4 linked regions of the Drosophila melanogaster genome follow. The protein of the gene in region 1 binds, or shares a complex with, the protein of each later gene. Each region holds a gene or a part of one and is shown on either strand. Other genes may lie near its edges. The genes, in order: MED24, MED18, MED7 and MED4.

Region 1 (8,998 bases):
AGCTACCTGCCCACGCAGGTGACCGACGTGTTTAGCCAAGGCCGTGCCTTCGCCTCGGTCACTCTGCCGGAGGCGGGAGTGCGCAGGATGTGCGCTATTGCCACGATACAAAAGCAGCTAAGGTGAGTCTAGCACGGATCAGTTTTGTTTCAGTTCAATTTGCAACGAAGAACGCACGGGAAAGTGAAAAAGCCATAAAATTCTACCTAGCTATAAAGAATTTCGAAAACTGCAATTCTATGCGAGCTTAATACCTCAGGTAGGGAATCTGAGTTCTAGATACCAATGCAGTTGTTCCGCGTAAATCATTTACACTACCTACTTTATCTGGCTTCATATGTTTGAATTTCCCTGAACTCTGTTGAAATGTAATTAATATGCTCTTTGCAAAAGTAGCCTAGTACATTTCATAAAGGTTTATAAAACAAAAATTGAATCACGTGCAAATTGAACTACAAACTGATTACCCTGCCTCTATTTCAAGTTCTAAATAACGGTTCATTCTGTTGTATTTGTAGACTTTTGATTGCCTCGCAGGATGGGTACTTGTACGTGTATTCCATTCCCACCGTCGAGGGCGCAGAGTGCCAGCTAATAAAGAGGCACGACCTGCGGCTGGAGGACCACTATGCCATGGATATCAAAGGTGCTTAACTGTTCGCTTCTCGCACACACTTCACACTTACACACATCCCAACCAAACCCACAATCGAAACAAATTCTCTAGTTGATTCACCTCAAACTCTAGGCCTTAACAGTGGCGTGAGCATTGGCGGAGCAGCTGGAGTTCCGCCGAGCAGTGCAAGTGCAGCCGGAGCAGGCACTGGTGGAAGTGGCGGTGATGGCAAGTCGGCTGTTTCTGTTACCGGTGGTGTCGACAAACCAAGTAGCTCCTATGCGTCGGCCGTGAAGGGTGACGATCCCGTGGGACCCTCATCCGCTTAGACAAGGTCAATGATCAAAAATGAGAGATGCAGCGATGGTAAACGAAACTCACTCCTCAAAGTAATAAGGACGATGATGCTAAAGTGATTACAATGATGCTTGGCGACTGGCGGCGGCGATAATGATGATGAATAAACGACGGTGGCTCTGTGGCGTCAAGCGTATTTAAGTAAATAAATAGGTCATAGACTTAATTTAGCTCTTAACGTTGTCAGCGATGATTCTTCCTCGTTTTGTACCAGCCAATATTCCTTTGTACGGCCTCTCCCTACCCAAAACATTTTTTAGTTTTAAGCCTCCGTTCCTGGCGCTGCCATTGGAATGTGAAATGCTTTTGTCATACACTCCTAAGTTAGTTGTTAATTAATAATTTAGACGGATTTACAGATTCGCTTTGATATTTGAGTTGCCAGCTTTTTATACAAAATAAACGGCCTTTGCAAATTAGTTTTTAATTTTTTTATTTTTCCAGTCCTCGCGCATCTTCCCTTGACAATCCACCGAACTCGATTTGTATGTAAAGTTCTCGCCTAGCTATTGTTTAATCATATCGAAATATCTCGGATTAAGCACATACACCACACCTATATATATATATTATATATTCAATTTAAAATTTAACATTCAGCTAGCGACACGATGAGTGAAATGAAATTCAAAAAATCGGAGCGTGCAATGGAGGAACAATTTTCGGCATATATAAATAGAATATATTTTGTACAAAGTCAAATATTTTAGAACATAATGTTTAAAATGAAAACAGTTTACAAATGAAACTCATACGCTACTTTATTGTATTCAATAAATTATTTGAATTAAAATTTGTTTGTGGGTGCCTTTTCGGTGTCTTAAAATATATTTTAATATTATTTCCTTTATTTGGCTAAATTCCTCGTTGCAAAAACAAAATTTTCAAAATATTTAAAATTGGCGACAAATTTTAAGATTGTGTGTTTTTCAACACTGTAGGATGGGAAAATTATGGTACTCTTTTGGTATGATTAATAAAAGATACCTCGGTCACACTGAGCGCTGCTAAAAAATATATTAGGTTTAAATAAAATAAATTGCGTGAAATACGAGAAAAGTAAAAGTTATATTACTTCCACGGACGCGAGAGATGAAGGAGAACAACAAGATCCTCCAACTCATCTATGTGGCGTGGCGCGAGCGCTGGACGGACTCCCAGTGGGGCATCAACATAAAAAAGGCAAGGCAACCCAAGCAAATCAACACACCAAACAATCAATGTTCGTGTTTACCAATATATTGTAAACGCAATGAGGCCGGTACATTGAGAATTTTAGTGACTCAAATTGCCCGCCTCCGTGCTCTTAGTCTTGGGCTCGAAAACCGGATCCTCTGCCTGGGACAGTGCCAAAACCAGTTGGCGTTGCTTTACGGAGAGATTCCGGGGTATACGCACCTTCAGCGTGACGATGTGGTTGCCCACGCCCTCCCTGGAGCGCACCCCCTTGCCATTGAGCACCACCTGGGTGTGGGATTGGGTGCCCGGCTCCACACGCAGCTCCACGCTTTCGTACAGACCCCGTATCTGAAAGGATCCGCCCAGAATGGCCTCCGAGATGTTTAGGTGCTTGTCGGTTAGAATGTCATTGCCAACGCGTCGGAAATAGTCGCTAGACGGCACCGACAAGCGGTAGGTGACCTGCTGCTTCGTTTCCGGATTTATAATGTTCACCACATCACCGTCCCGGGATCCGGAAGGCACCGATACCATCACATCCACATTGGACACCACGAAGCCGCGATTCGAACATGTTTCGCAGTCGTTGCGATTTGTGAATCGCTTGCCCTTGCACTGCGTGCATGTGTTCACCGATGAGAAGGTTGGCGTTTTGGTCATGACCTTTCCAGTTCCATTGCATCGCCGACAGGGTTCCTTGCCCACATCCCGATGCGCCATCAATTGTGACTTGCCCTTGCAGGTCTCGCATTTCCGCAAGTAGCGCAGCTCTATCCGCTTCTTGCATCCCACTGTCGCCTCAAGGAAGTCAAGTGGCAGATCGAACTCGTTGCTCTTCAGTTTGTTGATCTCTAGAAGGCGATTCAAGGATCGTGTTCATATCGTGATATAGTGAAAAGTGAAATGGTGTTTGATGTATCTAAAATCCGTCTGCTTACCATCATTTGTCGTCTTATCCGAATCGAACTTCTTGGCCTCCTCGAGGCCCACATTTAGGGGATTGCCCGCCTGTTCAAGAAAAGCGCGCTCATCCTTAATCCCGCCCAGCTGATCGTACTCCAAGCGCTTCGTCTCGTCGGTTAGGATGTTGTAGGCGTTGGACAGCTCCTGGAAGTGCTTCAGCTTTTGTTCCGAGTGCGTCGAGTCGGGATGATAGCGCTTGGCCAGCGCATAGAAAGCCGATCTGATTTGCTGGATGGTGGCGTGCCTGTTGACGCCTAACACTTTGTAGTAGTAGTCCTTGGGCATGCCTCGGCTTTGCGGGTACTTAACAGCCGGAGATGACACCTGTTGAGGCGTGGCTCCCGCTGACGTTCGCTTCGCCTCCCGCTGGCGATCTGGATAGTAGGCTGGTTTCGTGGTCCTGAACTGATATTGACTGATCATCCGCATACAGATCCAGCAGGCAGCGACAGCGGGAGCGCGATCCAACTCCAAACAATGTGACGTCTTCCTGCAGCAATCCGTTGCAGCTCCGCTAATTAAAGTGCTTAATACGTCTCCAGGACTGCGAAATAATTTTAAACGAAACATTTTTTATCGCGTAACGAAATATGCAACTATGTGTGCTAACTATATAAGTGGAAATCCTAACTAGATTTTTAAGTGGTTCTGTTTCTGTTTATTTTATGGGGTTGTGACCCAGATATTGTGTTAAAGTTTGACAGGAAAAGAAAATGTTTCATTATTGTCTTTCCCTTGATTACTATTTCAGGTGCTGCCGAGAGGAGTCAGTGGAGATGTATACAATCTGGCTGACTGTCTGATGCAGCAGGCACTCATTGGTTCCACGGCTAATCCGGTGAGTAGTTGATCTGAGTATTTAGATTGTTTTCTAAATTGTAATCTATGCTTTTCAGTTGGTTCTTAACTACCTGAAGCATTCACTGTGCGCCCATCTCGTTTCTCACGCTGCTGTTATTCGGTGCATTGCCAAATATGACAAATTAGAGCGCGTTTATTGCATTACAGCGCTCCTTGAATTCCTGGCCAGCATCGTGGATGGCGTTACCTGCCGGTAAGTCCTTTTAGTTTTATAAGTCGTTAAAAAGCAGGAGTAAAAATAATTGTTCATTTCTATTTCCAGAATAAAATCTGAGGAAGCGGTTTTACCGAGTTCCGTCGTCCACTTGGTGTACTGGCTGCTTCAAATCTTCGCCAGAACTGTGCAGCACTATGAACTGTATGGTGAGATTAGTGCTGAGCAATCATACATGCTGGACCAGACCTGCGTGGTGATAGATCGGCTTAGCCAGCAGCAGTTCCTGCTGTCTATGCTGTACGTGGGCTGTCACGAAGAGCTCGAAATATGTGGACGGATTCGGGATAAGTACGCTACCATCAAGGGATCGTTGACGAACTCAAACTTTACGCTAAATGCACCACAAGTGGAGCAGCAATTGCAGCAGTTGGCCTTTATAGAAGCCAAGCATCTTGAAATGCAACCACTTAATCCGCCGTCAACACTCGAGAAGATCTCGTGCTGCGTGCAACCCTTACTGGCGGTGGAAGTGCTTCTCAATCCGTGCAAGGACACCAGCTACTACGTGGCTGAGTTGCAGATGCTGCAACGATTAAAGAAATACTCCAATACACGGCTCTTCTACGAAATCATCCGTGCTGGATTCCTCACGCTGAGCAATGTTGCGGATACAAGTCCTGACACTATGTGGGGTGCCTTTATGTTCTTTAAAATGCCGCACATCATTAAGCAATTGCACGCCCTGCAACGGATTCCCGGGGAGCAACCACCACCGGCCGATTACATACCCGAGTTGGTGGAGGCTTTGGAATTGCTCATCGAGGACAATCTGCTGCTAGACTTCATGGATACTAAGTGCTCATGCAATATGATCGAGTTCCTTTTGAATGACTGGACCAAGCAACAACTAGTCAATGATGTCCACGTAAAGAAGTTCGCCAGTCAAAGGTTAGTCGAGAAATCATGCATTTTGTACACCCATCTTAATTATATAATTTAAAACGAACTCTTTCAGGGAAGCCGCCTCTCAATTACTCAAAAAATGCGACAATGGCCAACAGACACCCTCCAATATAAACTTCATCAAGCGCGCAGAGGTTCCGCTTTCCGGAGTACTAAAAACGCTGTGCACCAACAAGGTCCAGGACATGGTTAATGTCCTTTGCCAAGTGCCGGTGGGCAACAGCTTCGAGTTGATTCTTTCAGTGGCTACCGTCGAGGGACGCCTCAAGACATTCGTATCGCGTCTGATCCAGTGCAATGAGAACTCCAAGCCGGTGCCGGGCGACCTGGGCAAGCTATGCGTCATCCGGTCCACTCTGTTTGATGTTTCCTTCCTAATGTTGACAAGCATTGTGCAGACCTATGGATCCGATGTTCGTAAACCCGCCTGTTATTACGCTGCAATTTTAATGAATTCTATTTTACTTCAGGTGGTCTTATCTGAGCGTGGTGACTCATTTTTTGAAAAATGGGTGCGTGAGTGCATGGTGGAAAGGAATAAGCTTAAGAATCCGCGTCAAATTCTTGCCCTCTGTGATGACAGTATTGTCGACGAGCTTTTGCTTAGCTTCAGTAAACCAGAGGCATCACAACTTAAGCCAAACAACTTAAGTTGGCAGGAGACTTGCCTTAATCTGCCCGGAGTGCTTCATCATGTGCTAATAGCTTGGGAGCAGGAAACGCTATCCTCGGCGGACGTTAAAAGTATTCTGGACAATATTAAGAGAAGACTTTTCAGTTTTTCCGTTTGCGCCACTAGTTTTCTATGCGCCTACATGTATTCGGTGAAGGAAACGGAACTTCTGAAACCACTAAACATGATTCAGCAGTTCCTGGCTCCGTTGACCAGCGAAGAGCTTTCCAGCCAGGAAAATGCCAAGGAGCGACTAGCTCTCTCCTATCAGATTATCAGAAAAATGCAACACGATGTGCATCCTGCCCCAAGTACCAAGTCCCGCCTCATTTCACATTCCCCGCTAGTCGAGCAGTTTCGGGAGGTGTGGCGAACAGTAGTCGATGCTGGTCACCTGCCCGTTCGCGCCGCTCAGTCGTTGGAGTCGCTTCTGCTAGCCGGTGGCGCGGCGTGGCTGTCCACGCAGTTGGTGGAGCAACTGCTGGCCTGCAAGTACACAAGGGATATGTCGCGAACCATGGACGTTGTGTTTGCCGTAATGCATCTCGACATTGAGAAGACCACTGAGGCGTTGCTCCAGTACGTGGTGGCTCCACTGATACTGCGACGACAAGGGTAAATACCAATATTTTCTTCTGTATATTATTTCATTTATTTATTATCTACAAATCGAATCGATTTAGCAAGAAAGGATGTAAAAATTGAAACTGCTATGATAGAACTCGTACTCACAATTTGGCAATCTTTTTTTTTTCTAGTGAGGACATTAATGAGCCCCAATCCCTGGTACTGGCCCGCCTCTGTGTTTACTGTATTATTTCCTGCCTGGAGAGCCGCAAAGGAAATGGCACTTCCGCTTTGACGGCCATGAAGAAGCGATCGAGATCTCACGATGACGAGGAACTGGCGGCCAATGCAGCCAAAGTGCGCAAGGTGATTGGCGATGGCAGCGACAACTCAAGCGACTTTACGGACACTACGACCGGAGCTGGCCTGGCAGCATTATTGGGCTCCACTTCCACATCTGAACTGCGGACTACGCCGCTTACTCTAAGAGAACCACTGCAGACGAGCGTGCAGCACATTTTCGCAGTGTTCCTGCAGTTTGTCAGTGGAGATGAACTGTCGCCCAAGGCCGTTTTTGTTTATCAGTTCATTTCGCTGCTGGTGGAATGCGGTGGTGAGAGGGTCGCTCCCGTCCTGCGCTTGCTGCCCAACGGCCTGGTGCAACAGCTCCTGAAAGTTTTGGTCACCGACGACATAAAAGTGGGTCTCATCAGCAGACTATACGATCTGCGAATCCAGGCAGGAAGACTGTCCGCTGTGTCTGATCTTTGCCTGTGGCGAAATATGCAGATGGCCAGGCACAGCATTCATCTGTGAGGGATTTGGATGATTGCCACATTGGGTATGCCGATTATGATTAAGAGACGGGTGGGCGAAATTGCTAAATGAATTGTATTAAAAACTAGAAATTGGTGACTTGACTCGGCTTCTTCTTTGCACGCAGTGGATTTTGTTTTCGTTTATTACAATAATTTGTTGTCGCCGATGTTCGTCTGTGTTTTGCTTCATCTTCTTCAGTTAGCGGGTGTAGGGGGAGGTGTATGGACAGGCTTAAAGTAAGAGACCTTGCGATTCCCTATATCACTTGAGCAGACAGCACTCGAAGTAGGTCTCGCCCACACAGCCACCACGCATCGCCTTCTTTACATTGTTCTCGAACTGACGGCGGTTGGTCTGCAGGACGTCGGCCGCCTCCTTGTTGAGCGGATCCTCGGGATTGGGTTCCTGGAAGCAGTTAATTTGGATTAGTAATACTGTTGGCTTGGGTAATAACAAAAATAGAAATAATGATCGTTAAGTGGTATAAACAAACATTTATATTGAATTGTTTCAGTGGGCGTTCAATTAAGCACACTTAGAAATCAATTGTTCACAAAACAAGACATAAAAAATCAATTGTAACTTGAAAACTGTGGCTGTTGATCAAGACTTATGGAACAAAGCGTATAGCCTCTAAAATAACACAAATCACGAAATACAAACCAAGAATAGAAACTGCAAGCCATAGACGATGGAGTTGATGTTCAGCACTGGATTCCAGTCCTCGCGCAGAATGTTGAGGCAGACGTTGCCATCCAGGTCAATATTGGGATGGTACACCTGGGTGGCGCACTTCACCTTGGGCGGCTCGTGCGGATAGTTGGATCCGACGCGGAAATTGAACACGAAGCGCCCGTCTCTGTAGAAGCCCTCGTCGGGCGAGATGATAAGCTTGAAGTTGAGCAAGTCATTGGGATCGGGAAAGTCTGTGGCGCAAGTGTTTGGCAGGTTCAGTTCGTTAATATCTGGGGGGAGGAAAACAGCCCAAGATGGATAAGTAATAAGCGAGAGTTGATCATACCAGGTGCTGGATTGGAGACTACCTTTCTGTATGCGCAGCTGGGCGGCGGACGCTTTCTTCTGCTGACTGCCCTTTTGCTCGCCGTCTTTCTTCTGCTGCTTAAGCGTGAATAGTTTAATCATCTTGGCGTCCTCGTCTCGCTGGCGTTTCGTCTTCCGCGTTTGGCTGTGCTCGAAAGTTTCTGGCTCTCTGGGGGGCTTTTGCTGCTTGAGGGACAGGTTGCATTGTTTGAAATGTCAGTGGTTTAAGGGCAATTGTTTCACTGAATCTTTGGCCTACCGTTAACAATAGAACTGATGTAAAAAATCACTTCGAGTGCTTTCTATCCTTTCCTTGTTTCTGCCCAGCGATATGTGTAATTAATCGATGGTTGCACCCGATAACAGTCTGCTCGATAGTTGTTGCGTAGTGCTGGTAAGCGGACTTCGGATTCAGCGGGATTCAAGCCAAGTTTGGATACTTCGAAACGAAGAAAATTTTAAAACCTAAATTTTCGACATGCAACCGGTGTCGTAATATATTTGAAAATCATCGTCATAATTTTTTTTTTTAAATATATATATTAAATATATTTATTTAAATTAAACGCAAGTCTTTGATAGCTGGTTTTTCTTACTTCGTTCCATAACTACGTAAAACTTTGCAGATAAATTTAAAGAAATATTTGTTAGCTACTTTGCAAACCACATCTCTATCGGAAACCAGGGCTGCCTTAACCAGCACATGTTGATTAATGCATTACGATTGGGCTCCCCTTGAGCTGTTTATTTTGAATTTCAACAATTTCTGATTATGTCGACGGAGCCATCGGTGGCCAAGGAT
Region 2 (4,265 bases), on another chromosome or scaffold:
AGGCAGACGAGTCGAGTTTAAAGGAGTCTGATTTGTGCGCAGAGGTTTAGTAACTGGGGATTAAAGCGCGTGTGACTCAACGGTTGGAGGATAAAAAGCATGGATAAATTCTTACATATGCTGAAGTCCCCGAGAACACTTTCATCTGGCTTGGGCTTCTTTTTTTTAGCGGTGGTTACCGCTGTTGCTTGAATATTCCTGGGCCTCAGAGGAGCCTGTTTACCGCCACTACCACTGGAGCGCTTTAGAGTGCGGATCACATCTGGTGTCTGCCAAGACTTGCCGTACAATTGATTGAGCAGCTTTTCTGCGTGGGTGAGAAACTGCTCATCCTCGGATGCATCATCCACAGACAGCATGGATTTTTGGTGGCTCTGAGGGTCCTGCTGCTGGTGCTCTTGGTGCTGCACCTCCTCCGAGCTGGGCAGGGACTTAGTGGCCCTGGGCGAAGAGTAATGCTCATCGTCGTCTTCCGCCGAACTTGACTCCATAGTGGGAATGCTGATTTTAATGTTGATCTTCGCTGAAATATTAATACTGCTGACCTGGATAGAACCGTGTTCGTCCCCTCCCGATGTGGAGGAACCAGAGCTGGCCTTTTGCGGCGTGAGCTCGCCCTCGCTGCTGGTTTCCGGTATTTCAATGGATTCATCAGGAACGGGCTCATTGTTGTGAATCGTCGAGTTATGGGTCTCAGAACTATCAGAACACAGGGTGTTGGGCTCGGTGTCATTGTCTGCTAAACGCTTGCTGCTGTATGTGGGCTCAAGCTCCTCCGATCCGAGAGTATTCGCCTCCGTTTCGTCGTCTGCCAACCGCTTGCTGCTATCCAATCGAGTGGCATCTGCTGAGCAGATGGTATTCACCTGCGTATCGTTGTTCGCCAGTTGTGTGCTGTTGTAAATCGGCCTGGTAGTGGGTGGCTGCCAGTCCTCGTCGGTGGGCGACATGGATTCGGTGTCCGCATCGGCTAGACGGGATTGCCGCTGGCTGGAAGAGAGGGGGGGCGGTGTCAATGGGCCATTCCACTCCATCTCGCGTCGCTCTATGGACACATCGCGCAGAAAAGCCTCGATGCGCTGCACTTTTTCGGTTGTGAGCATGGGCTGTGGTATGTCTTCCTGGCCGGGATTAGCCACAATTTCCCGTTCACTCACAGCCATGCTATCGGGAGGCAAGGGTTCTTGCTCATCCTCGCTAGAATCGGATATGGTGATACAGGAGGCGGCGTCGTCGTCGCCGGATACGTTCTCTTCCGTAGTGGAGGAAATGCAAATGGAGATCTCCGGCTTGGCCGAGTGCTCCTCATTTATGGGCTGCACTTTCAAATTGCTGATGCCAGCGGACAGGAGCTCTACATCGCCCACATTTGCCACATCCTGGCTGCAGCCGTCGGCGCTCAGCTGCAAGGCTTCCATGTAGTCGGAATTGTCGAGTTCTGTGTCCTCCGTATTTGCCCCGCAGGACGGAGCGGGTGCTCCCACATTGGCGCGCATGGGAGCTGCTGGCAGTTTCCTTGTTTTCTGGTCGTTCCTCTTTTCTGGATGATCCTTCGGCGCATGGGACACCTGGAGTCGTTTTTTGTGGGAGGATAGCGTCAAATTGGCGAACTTTTGATTGAAGGGAACTTTTACTTTGCTCGGGTCGACCGCATTGAAGAGCCTATACTTATGATCCGCCATTTTGGGGGCGTCGTTGGGGCATTTACGGTAAATCAATCTCTATGAATATGCTTTAAGCAAAATTCGTATTTGCTATTATTCTGTGCGCGTCGATTTACGTTCATCGTTATCGATAGACTATTTGATTTTCCGGCATCTAGCTAGTGCTGTTCGAAAATGTCTAAAACGGCATCACTAGTAAAACGAATTCTTCCAAGGAAATGAAACTAAAAACAAAACCAAACTACTGCTCAGTTAATTTAATACCATAGTACACCCAAACTTACAAAATTAGCCAATGGCGATTGTGTCGTCGGCCCGTGAGTCGCTCTCCCATGCGATGAACAACCGCTTCTTGCCCAACCTGGAGTACTTGCTGCAGGGATCTATCCTGGATTCCGCCGTGGAACACTTGATGCACAGGTGGGAGACCCAGTGTCAGATTTGAATCGTTTGCACCCGACTAACAGTCTAACCGCCTACCCACTATCAGACTAAAGGGACTCTGCGACAATGTGGACACCTCGCCGGAGCCGTTTCACGATCTGGAAGTGTGTATGAGCCTTCGCCAGCCCAATGCCAACCAGCCGCTGCTTCTTCGCGTGCGCCGAGCCCTTGGTCGCGATGCACCCTTTCAGATGCGCTACCTAGGAAACCCCGAGGTGGATCTGCGCCGGCCTACATTGGTACGCAGCTGCATGGACTGCGCCTGCACCAATGGCATTTTGGAATTCCTCACGGAAATGGGCTTCCGCCTGGAGTTCGAGTACATAGCAAAGGGTTGGAATCATGAAATATATTACGCTTGGGTTGCCAAAATGGATAGTGACAAATGGACTTATTTCAGGCTATATGTTCCGCAAGGGGCGCATGAAGATTACCGTCTCCAAGCTCATTAAGATTGTGCCCGGCAAGCAGCAGGACATGGCCAACGAGCCAATCTCACAAAGCTACATAGTGGAACTCTCTGTGGTGGCGCCAACGGGGCAGGAGAATGTCGGCGAGGAAATGCGCGTGTTTGCCGAGCAACTAAAGCCACTCGTGCAGCTCGAGAAGATCGACTACAAGCGACTGGGCGGCATGCCGTAGTTTACAATAAAAGTGCACATCGCATTTATCCAACAGTTATTTAATTTCTTAAATGTAAGAAAATATACAAATTTACAGAAAAGAACCGAGAGGGAATGATTACACTGCCAGAGTAAAAAATATCTCAAATTCAACCTTACACACCCACATGACACGACAACAACGGACTTTCCCAAAGCAGTGATAAAGAAGCTGCGGGGCGGTTAATCCTTAAAGGCCTCATTAAGAGCCGCCAGATTGCGATCGCTCACATAACTCTGGAGATCGCTGCGGCCCATCAGCGAAATGACCATCTTCAGCGTACTCCAAATAGACTCGGACATCTGGTTCTGTCCTCTAAAGGTAGCCGCCATCGCCGCATTGGGCAGCTCTCGGGCGGCGTTAGTGTGAGCCTGCATGGTAAGCGCTGTGAGTAAGTGCTCCACAGCTTCCTTGTAGGCCTTAAGGTTCATGCAACATACGCCCACGTTGTAACGCACACGGATGAAGCCCGGTTGGAGCTGCAGCGCCTGCTGATAAGCCTCCACCGCCTCCACGGAGCGCGAGCCGTTGGCCAAACTGGCCCCCAATCGGTTCCATGTCTTCGCATTTTGGGGATCCACCTGCAGAGCGGACTGGTAGCAGTCCACCGCCTTGTCGAACTCCCCAGATAGATTGTAGAGCACGCCGAGGGCATCCTGGACTTCGGCATCCACCTCCGAAGGGTGCTGTCGAACGGCTTCCAAGTAGATCTGCTGCAGATCGCGCAGCTTACTCGGACCAATCAGCGACGAAGCCAACGAAGTGCCCTCGGCCTGCAGCTCCGGATGGGCTGCGACCAGGTGCTGATACTTGGGATGCACTGTCAGCCAGTTGCACAGCATGCGCACGGCGTTGTTCTGCAGGCCCTCGTTGGTGTAGCACGCGGCCAGGGCCATCAGGACCTGTTGGTTGTCCGGTTGCAAGTCGTAAGCCCGCTTAAGTGCCGCAATGGCCTGGGGATCCATTTCGTTCTCTGTCTGCGAAGTGCCCAGCAACTGCCAGACCTCAGCGCGCTCCGGTTGCTTTTTGGCCGCCACCTCGAAACATAGAACTGCGCTGGGTATATCCCCTTTGGACAGGTACTCCTTACCCTTTTCAAACGGGTTCTCCACATCAGACATGGGGTTGCCCTCGGCGAACTCGTACTCCTTATAAGCGTCCATATTGTCGTTGTACTCCGACAGCCACGGATGCTCGTTCTCGTCGGCCAGCTTCTGCCACTCGTCTTGCAGCCGCTCCCAGAACTTTTCGTTGAAGTTGGCGGCGGTTTGCTCTTTTTGTTCGGTGCTGCGCTGGTAGTCGCTGATCCAGTCGTCCAGCGATTCCCCCTGTGGCGCCTGTGGCAGATGATCTGTGATTATAGTTTCCATGGCGGAGTCAAAGAAGGGGTCCTGTTGCTGTCCTGCCGCAATGGGCATCAAAGGCTGACGCAATGGCGGCAGGGACCGAAAGTTCTGGCTACTGATCAGGGGCTCGTCGAAGAACTCCTGGGCA
Region 3 (4,356 bases), on another chromosome or scaffold:
ACCTGATTTGTGTGAACATATTCTTTAATGAGATTCAGCCTTTCGAAGGGAATATCTGGCAGAAGCGTATTGTATCTATGCTCTACGTGATACGTAAACATTTTGTATTGCTTTTTCTCATCCTGGTCGTAGGGATTGTGAGGATCCACAATTGGCGCGTGTTTCCACAGGTTGGGCGGCGTGTGATCCTGATAAAGGTATTCTATCGTCCGATTTCTCGTGCACTTTACAAAGCCCGCCGCGTTGAAGCGCTTGTCGTCCGACATGGTTTTAAACCTTTTCGGTTCCAACGTGAGCAAATAGGGATCAACTTCCTTGTTAGTTAGCTTTTTAGGGTGACGTTTGCGCGTTTCCTCAGGCCTGCGCTCGTTTTTCTCCGGTCTGTAAATATGAAAGGAAAACAATTATTATATCGCTAAATGCAGATTAAAAGAGGATAAGATTTCTTTTTTTTAAAGGACTGATTATTATGTAACTTAAATATTATAATGAAATCATCTTATGTTTAATCAAAATACTGGTGCTATCTTTAAAATTAATTAGACTTTCAACATTTAGGTCAAATAATCTCCCCAAATTCTTTAATGCCGGCTGATAAGAAAGAATTTAAGTGAATTATAATGTAAAAATATTTATTTAGGATGTGATCTATCTCTGAATAACTTGTTATTTTTATGAATGAACTGTCTACGTTTTTAGCTTCACTTGTCTGGTTAATTTCTCATTTCTTTATATACTCTGTTTGTTATTTGTTTTTGGAAGCACGAGAACGTGCCCTATCGTCCATTAACGGCAAGCCGGCTTCTGTGATATTAATGCAAACAAAGCCGAAGGGGGCGTAAAGTGAAGCTCGATAAGCGGAATTCTGGACCGAAAAGAGCCAGCAATGGCGACAAGTGGGGAGCACGTGGCCTTGTCTTTCTCCATCTTCTTAACTCTTCAGTTCTGAGTTAAACTTACGCAGCACTTCCGCTAGGGGTCTCCTTCTGCAACTCCGATGTGAGCAGGGCTTCGATCTGGTGCTCCACCACCTGGCACAGGTACTCCACTCGGTCTCCATAGATCTTGCCGCAGTACTGGAGGGCACTTCCTGCGGCCACGATGGCCGATCTTCGAGAGACATCATTTCGTCCTAAGCAGTGGCGCAGTAGCTCTTCAATATACTGAAAATATAAGCAATGTATTTGAGGATCTGCAGGCTTTTGTGTTCACTGTAAATAAAATAATAGATTTTCTTGAAAACCCATTTATATAATTTTAGTTAAAATACCAGTTATCGAGGCATGACTGTAAAACCCACGCACGTTGCGTCACACTTTTATTTTGATCTTTCTGCTCTTCGGCGGTTTTGCTTATCTTGATAATAGTGGTCTTCAACACTCACATATCCCAGTGATATCCGTAGGTCCGTGGAGTAGTCCGTGTTTTTGGAGAGCTCTTCGAGGAGGACGACTAGCGAGGCCAGGTCCTGTTGCTCATCGTAGGCGCGGATGCACTTGGCCACTTGGGTTCCCGGCCGATTCTTGGCTATTTCCAATATCTGCTCCCGCGCTTCGCTCAAGTAGGCTGTGAATTAAATAGAAACCGATTGGATTTACTTAAGCAAAAACCACACACCCAATCGCAGATCCGCTTTATTGTTTATTTCGGCCCTCCCCATACACACACACACACACTCGCATAGAAGCACCAACACACGCGGTATACTGGAAATAGCGCTGACTTAATCAATGGGAAACGAAGATCACGCCTGGGGCTGTCCTGCGTTGGTTACCTAAGTTCTGGATGCTTACCCGCTTCCGCTTCTTCAGGCAAAATCCGCTCCATGGCTCACTAGATGACACTAGGAAAAGTTTGTTTTATGTCCGGTTTTGCACATTTTACTGGCATCGTGCACAAGCACTGCAAGCACGCACACACGCTGAGTGGGGAAATCAAAATGGTGGAGGCAGCACGGCTTGTCTCTTAGTTGGGTCCAGTTATGTTATGGTTTTACGTTTTGTTTTCATTTCTTTGGCAGGAACAGGAATATTGGCGCGAATCGGTGCTGGAACAATTAGCTATTCACATCAAGATATATATGTGTTTCTTATTTTGTTGTGCTCTACCGACGAATGAGGGAAGAGACGGAGAAAAATTGCTATGGCAATGCTGTAGGGGGTGCATGCAAGCATGGTCACCTTTAAGTTATCGATAGCTAGGCACGGTGAATCATTTATTATTTCGAGCTCGATTAATATCTAATTTAATTTTTGTAATTGTAAATTATTTGTCAGTGTCTCAAAACATATTATAATAAATTCTGCTTATTATTGCATTGTCTAGCTTCAAACCTCTAGTGTGCTCATTTTTAAGAAAACAATTTGAGTGATAGTGTCATCACTATCGTGAGTGATTCGCCTGTCTCAGGTGCCATCACTTCTTCAAAACAAAAATCATTTATTATTTTTGTATTTCCGCACTTGTTAATCTCATAATGTCCAACCAGGAGACCCAGGTTTCCAGCCTGCCGATGCCGCCGGAGCGGTACATCGCCAATTACACGGACGAGAATATCCGCCGCAACCGAGCGCCACGCCCACCGCCGCCGCCGGCGCAGCACGAAGTCTATAGCATGTTTGGCATCCAGTACAACAACGACGAGATGATCCGCAGCTTGGAGTCCCAGAATATTAAGCGACTGATCCCCATCCATTTCGATCGGCGCAAGGAGCTCAAGAAGCTTAACCACTCCCTCTTGGTCAACTTCCTAGATCTCATTGACTTTCTTATCCTGAATCCTGACAGCCCGCGGCGCACGGAAAAGGTGAGTCAATTGACCCATTAAAATGTAGCATCTATTGTATTACACTCATTTGATATCTTAGATTGACGATATCAGTCTGCTGTTCGTCAACATGCATCACCTCCTCAATGAATTTCGCCCACATCAGGCGAGGGAAACGCTGCGCGTCATGATGGAAATGCAGAAGCGGCAGCGCGTTGAGACCGCCGCCCGTTTCCAAAAGCACTTGGAACGTGTGCGCGAGATCGTTAATACCGCCTTCTCAGCTCTGCCGGTTCTAGATGATGACGACGATAGCGGCGGAGCAAAGATTAAGACGGAGGTGGATCCGTTGGAGGCGAATGCGGCGGCCAAGAATGATCCCAGTTACCAGCACGATCGCATGTTGTGCAAGCTTGTGGACGCTATCGAGTAAGCTGAGTTGGCAAAAGACTGGACATCGACGCTGGAAATAGTGTCAATCATTGTGAATGGCTTGGAAAAAAGAGCTCCTCATATTTATAACTCCTTTTAGTATAAGAAATAAAACCCCAATTGTGGGATGAGAATCTTGCACGTCTAATGAGTAATTCATTCAATGGGAATTAATGTGTTAAGTCATCTTTGAGATAAGCTTTACACAGATAAGATCCGAGATAAAGGCTCATGATTAAGCATCCCACAAATTTCACCATTAAAATGACGTAGTCAGCGTGGAGTAATAATATAGTCAAATGTCATAAATTAATAATCTATCTAGAACAATTTATTCAGGATAGGAATAACAATATAAATGTATATATTTAATTGTAAAAATTGTAAAGACATGTGACATGACATGAGACATGAACACCTCACACGTTTTCCTACTTTTAATGGGTGCTACCGCATGGCATCATCGTGGCTAGCCGAAATATGCTCGTACAGTGCGTTTCATAATGTACATATACATATGTGGTTTTAATGAATTTGTATGGAGTTTCATCAAAATTACTAATTTTGTTTGATAAACATGATTAAAAAGTCAATAGAGATATTCATTCACAACTGGAGTATAATGTTTTCCCTAAAATTTTTTTAACTCACTGTGCCCTTTACAAAATCCAACGTGTTTTTCTAAATAAACATGGTTTAATACGTTTATTAGCTTTCTTAGATTGTAAAGCCCGCGATAAGAGAGATGTAGTTAAGTGAATCTTCACTTTTATTGAAGTAATCTCCGATAAAAGGAGGTGCCATGCGCTCTAGATGATCATTTCTCGTGCAGCATTGCAAGTGTGCAAGTCGGTTGAATAGGAATATTTTGAAAACCCTTAACTCATTGACTTTGAACTTAATTTTTTAAAGAACTTGTGGTTGCGCTTTTTAATTAAGAACTGCATCGTATTAATTGAACAATCAATTTCAAGAGCAAGCCGATTGTGAAAACCCATGGTGACAAACAGTAATAGCTAAGATGTCGGAAAAGAATATTAAAACAGCGATTCCAGAGAAAAGCAAAGGTAAAGGGTTAAAAAATAATTGGCAACTAACTACGATGGAGTAGAAAAAACCTTATAAACCCAATAAAACAGAGCTTCCTTAAAAAGTGC
Region 4 (4,315 bases), 940 kb from region 1:
GCGAATGGCGAATGCGAAGGACGGGCAACTTCAATTTCTCTGCCATGAACTTGAAAGAACGAACGAACGAATTTCTCCAACTTGGCTGAGTGCCTGCGGTGTTCCTGGTGGCCAGGATGGTTGGCATTGGTATGGGATATGGGGGCGAATTTAACGGAAAAGTGCAACGAACTGCCATTCCAATCATTAAGCTGGGTGTGTCCTCCGCTCGGGAACCATAAATTGATATAAGTTATGCAAGGCGTAAGGGAAGTTTAAGGTCTGTTTTGATTGCAAAATGGAATTCATGGATGCAGAGAATCTACTCCATGGACGGCCAGCTTATCGAAATACCTCCTTCTTTATGATCCTTTGTCGCGTGTTTAATATTAGCAGGGTATCGCATTATTTTCAATTAAAAAACATTTTCTCTGGAGTTGCTTAAAATTTTTAATGATCCAGATGTTGCTCTCGAGTTTATGTGTAATTTTAATAAATATTAACTATTAAACTTTTACAACGAGCAGAGAACCCAGAGCCATGAAACTTTACGTTACGCTTGTGAAATTCAAACAAACCAGTTATTTTATTGAATATGGCTGCTGTCTGCAGTCGAATAAAACTTTCATCGCTCTAATTAAAAGTTCTAAGCTAGTCGATAAAGTGAAGCCAAAACCTAATTGCCATGAAGTCGAGCTCATCGTGTGTTTGTTTTGCTTTACTTACCCATTGCAGGCACCTCGAGGAATTGCTAGACGGGTCCATTAGCAGTCAATCAGCCGCAGAGAAGAGCCAGCAAAAGATACAGATACAGGCGGAGCAAAAGATACAGGATGCACGAGAGACAAGTGAAGAAGTGAGTAGCGCGGATGGGCCACTTAACGGCTAATACAGCGGCGATAACATTTGCGATCCAATTACAGGTTGAAGGGCAGCCATTATGTGGCCACGCACGGTCGCCTCACTCCGGATCCGCCCTACGTCCACTCGAACCGCGGCTATTCCACCGACGGCGATGAGACCCACTCCCACCGGGCGCCCTCGGAGCGCACCTATTCGGAGTACACGTTGACCCACGAGCGCATCTCGCCGCAGTACAATGGTTCGCGCAAGAAGCGCTCCTCATCCTCGAATGGAAACCATCAGCATCAGCACCTGCAGAGCAGCTACAGCCACAGTCAGATGGGCCTCTCCAGTTCGCCGGACAACGGAGGACCTCGCTCCCTCAGCGGACCGCCGCCCACGCGCCAGCCACCGCGTGCTCCGTCCGCCCTGAGCTATGACCAGGCTGGTGACGCCGGCAGCGACATCTATGTGACCAGTGCCGCCTACAAGGCGCCCTCCGAGATCAGGTGCGTTGTTACAACTATATAGCATATAACCCATATCTAAACTATCTATCATCCATTACAGTCGCTACAGTCAGCGTCCAGTGTCGCGAGGAGCTCCACGGAGTGTTTACTCCGTGGCCAGTACGGCCAAAACCGGACGCAGTGCGCGCTCGACGACTCGGCGAGGCGCCAAAGTGGAAACCATGTCCGCGCCGAATCCATTTTGCCCCAATGTCAAGGGCGTGTGCTGTCTGATGCTGTTGCTCAACTTGGGCCTGATCCTGGTGACGCTAGGATTCGTCATTGTGGTGCAGTTCTATGAGCCACTGTACGTGTGGATACTGGGAATTGTGTTCCTGGTCTTCGGCTTCCTCACGCTAATCGGCTGCATGATCTACTGTGTGTACGTGTTCCGGGATGCGAAGACGCCATCGCAGGTGCGCAACGAGGATCTCTACTGGACGCGGCACTGGCAGAAGAATATCGGATACACGCCGCAGGAGATCAACTACAAGGCGGACAAGTACGATGCCTACTCGGATCGCTATTCGGTTAGCAAGCTGAGTGGCAAATACTCGGATCGCGAGAGCCAGCGATACTGATTGTTATGCATATGTACATATGTATGTATGTACATACATATGCGGTTTGATGAAAGGGGATCCTTTGGGCGGAGAAGAAATATGAATAGCCACATATAAACCACTTATATCTTAACTAATTGTAAGACTATCTACTAGTTCTAAACGGTTATTAACAAGGCCCCTCCAACGTACCTGCTGCAAGTTGCTTGCTGGTTTGTATGTTTTAAGAGTGAAACTGACGGGAGACGCGAACGCGAGGATGCAACAGAGTATTGTAATCTGCCATATTTGAGAAGGTTTGTTAGGTTTGATTTGGCTAATCAACAGAAGAGTTTTATGCTAAAATTGTAACTGCAATTGTAACACACGAGAAATAAACAAGCAAATAATACCTACTAGAGATAACGCTGCGAATTTGTTTTATTTTTGAACAGTCTCTTCTACTCTTTGCTTTTGAGTACTTGATTCCCTTTTTTTTGAGTGTATGAAATAACCCATGTGGCAACTCCTATTAGTCTGGCAACCTCTCTGTTACGGTATTTTTACAACGTGGTATTAACAGCGCTCCGGAATACTATACGGTATATTTCAGCAATCGAAGAACGGCCACATTGCGGTGTGGAAAATAAACAAATTGCAATTATTGCTTAGCACAAACGATTTGCCGTGATAATGTCGTTTCATTTGAGCACAAAAGAGCGCCTTCTGCTCCTGATCGACGACATTGAGATGATTGCCAAGGAGTTGATCGAGCAGGCGCACCAGAAGATCTCCAGCACCGAATTGGTGGACCTGTTGGATTTGCTGGTGGCCAAAGATGAGGAATTTCGCAAAATGCTGGAACTGGCGGAGGAGCAGGCGAAAGTGGAGGAGGCGATGGACCAACTGCGCGCTAAGGTCGAGGTGCACGTAAGTAGAAGTTTTGCATTCCCCAAAAATAAGGTATAATCTGGATTTTCCCGCTTAGGACCGTGAGATCCAGAAGCTGCAAAAGTCGCTAAAGGATGCGGAGCTCATACTGTCCACGGCCATCTTCCAAGCGCGACAGAAACTGGCCAGCATCAATCAGGCCAACAAACGACCGGTTTCATCCGAGGAGCTCATCAAATACGCACATCGGATTAGCTCCGCCAATGCGGTCAGTGCTCCGCTCACCTGGTGCATAGGTGACCTGCGGCGTCCCTATCCCACGGACATTGAGATGCGCAACGGGCTGCTGGGTAAATCCGAGCAGAACATCAACGGCGGAACAGTGACCCACCAGAACAGCGGCATGCCCTCGGAGCAGCAGCGAACGCTGTCCGGTAGCGCAGGAAGTGGGAGTGGCAGTGGCGCCGGCGGCGAGGTGCCCAATGCCTTCCAGAACCAGTTTAACTGGAATCTCGGAGAGCTGCACATGACCATGGGCGCCTCTGGGAACACAGTGGCCCTGGAGACGCGCGCCCAGGACGATGTGGAGGTCATGTCCACGGATAGCTCAAGCTCCAGTTCCAGCGATTCGCAGTAGAATTGGATAAAAAACTATAACTAAATCTCGTTTAAGCTAGTAGTATTAGGTATTTAATAAAAGCGCGCTGTAAGGAAGTCTAGTTATGTATATATTTGAGTAGCTGGGATACATATCTAATTTTATGACCTTCTTTAATGATATTAATTTACAATTTAAATTGGCATTTAAAAAAATGCAAAGTTATGTATCAGTGGAAACAGCTTATAATAGCTTCGTGTCAAGAGCTTGGTACTTTTGCGCTAGTGCGATACGGTCCTCCTCAACCATATAAACAATCGATTGGCAGGGTCGCGTGCAATCGATACTTTGACAGCTCGCAATTATTTTAGCTTTGGTTTTTCAAATAAAATGGAATGCAACGCGTATGCAGCGTGTTTCAAGTAGCTAAAATGTGGCCAAGGTGTAGTCCAGTGTCGCCGCCAATCGCAGATCAGCCCCGTGTGCGTCTTTAACGAGAGATAAGCCCCGAAAACGATAGTAGAAAACCGACCCCCCGTTCGCAGTGTGTGTGTACAGAGGGCGAAGCGAAGCGAAGGCTCGACTCAAACCAATTGCAATATCAAATATAAAGAAAAAGTGGAAGTGGAAGGTGGAGTGGAGTGGAGGCCAGGGAGCGAGAGACACCGCCATCGCCACTTGCATCGCCGCATCCGCAATCGGGTTACATACGACACTCACATACCACACAGCCAGCCAGCACACAGGCCAAACTTTTACTTTTTCCCATTCGATATTGTTGGAAAAAATTTGGCCAAAAGAAAACAATTCGAATACAAATACAAACAGAAGAGTGTACGAGTGGGGGGCGACATGATAGTTTGTTTGAGTTCTACACACTGCATGTTTGAATTATTGTAAAGCCCTGAAGTACAGTGAACGTACATCTCATAGAGCGCCCCTAGAAAGTCGCA

Evidence for each region.
Region 2: MED24 (region 1) and MED18 share a complex: the UniProt entries of both Drosophila melanogaster proteins name them as parts of the mediator complex.
Region 3: MED24 (region 1) and MED7 share a complex: the UniProt entries of both Drosophila melanogaster proteins name them as parts of the mediator complex.
Region 4: MED24 (region 1) and MED4 share a complex: the UniProt entries of both Drosophila melanogaster proteins name them as parts of the mediator complex.

Annotation. Positions count from the first base shown.
Region 1 is NT_037436.4:8,189,324-8,198,321, forward strand, and holds MED24 (mediator complex subunit 24), read left to right. Parts: upstream 1-1,946; 5' UTR 1,947-2,065; coding exon 2,066-2,155; intron 2,156-2,198; exon of another isoform or gene 2,199-2,248; coding exon of another isoform or gene 2,249-3,003; intron 3,004-3,090; coding exon of another isoform or gene 3,091-3,685; exon of another isoform or gene 3,686-3,793; intron 3,794-3,866; coding exon 3,867-3,953; intron 3,954-4,011; coding exon 4,012-4,169; intron 4,170-4,238; coding exon 4,239-5,081; intron 5,082-5,148; coding exon 5,149-5,509; intron 5,510-5,566; coding exon 5,567-6,384; intron 6,385-6,523; exon of another isoform or gene 6,524-6,527; coding exon 6,528-7,152; 3' UTR 7,153-7,250; downstream 7,251-8,998. Other genes in the region: Atg18a (Autophagy-related 18a), read left to right, coding at 1-122, 519-646, 728-945; CG7387 (uncharacterized protein), read right to left, coding at 2,249-3,003, 3,091-3,685; NEDD8-conjugating enzyme UbcE2M, read right to left, coding at 7,417-7,560, 7,819-8,120, 8,199-8,298; Dhps (deoxyhypusine synthase), read left to right, coding at 8,969-8,998. UniProt on the Drosophila melanogaster protein: Component of the Mediator complex, a coactivator involved in the regulated transcription of nearly all RNA polymerase II-dependent genes.
Region 2 is NC_004354.4:1,864,055-1,868,319, forward strand, and holds MED18 (mediator complex subunit 18), read left to right. Parts: upstream 1-1,854; 5' UTR 1,855-1,959; coding exon 1,960-2,084; intron 2,085-2,131; coding exon of another isoform or gene 2,132-2,154; coding exon 2,155-2,441; intron 2,442-2,508; coding exon 2,509-2,750; 3' UTR 2,751-2,833; downstream 2,834-4,265. Other genes in the region: Gcna (germ cell nuclear acidic peptidase), read right to left, coding at 1-53, 116-1,682; Pex5 (peroxin 5), read right to left, coding at 2,954-4,265. UniProt on the Drosophila melanogaster protein: Component of the Mediator complex, a coactivator involved in the regulated transcription of nearly all RNA polymerase II-dependent genes.
Region 3 is NT_033777.3:10,759,054-10,763,409, reverse strand, and holds MED7 (mediator complex subunit 7), read left to right. Parts: upstream 1-2,377; 5' UTR 2,378-2,476; coding exon 2,477-2,806; intron 2,807-2,867; coding exon 2,868-3,200; 3' UTR 3,201-3,339; downstream 3,340-4,356. Other genes in the region: Cap-H2 (chromosome associated protein H2), read right to left, coding at 1-381, 961-1,163, 1,385-1,566, 1,794-1,827; CG31272 (uncharacterized protein), read left to right, coding at 4,221-4,266. UniProt on the Drosophila melanogaster protein: Component of the Mediator complex, a coactivator involved in the regulated transcription of nearly all RNA polymerase II-dependent genes.
Region 4 is NT_037436.4:7,248,696-7,253,010, reverse strand, and holds MED4 (mediator complex subunit 4), read left to right. Parts: upstream 1-2,483; 5' UTR 2,484-2,566; coding exon 2,567-2,803; intron 2,804-2,861; coding exon 2,862-3,401; 3' UTR 3,402-3,482; downstream 3,483-4,315. Other genes in the region: CG14830 (uncharacterized protein), read left to right, coding at 813-835, 903-1,331, 1,393-1,912. UniProt on the Drosophila melanogaster protein: Component of the Mediator complex, a coactivator involved in the regulated transcription of nearly all RNA polymerase II-dependent genes.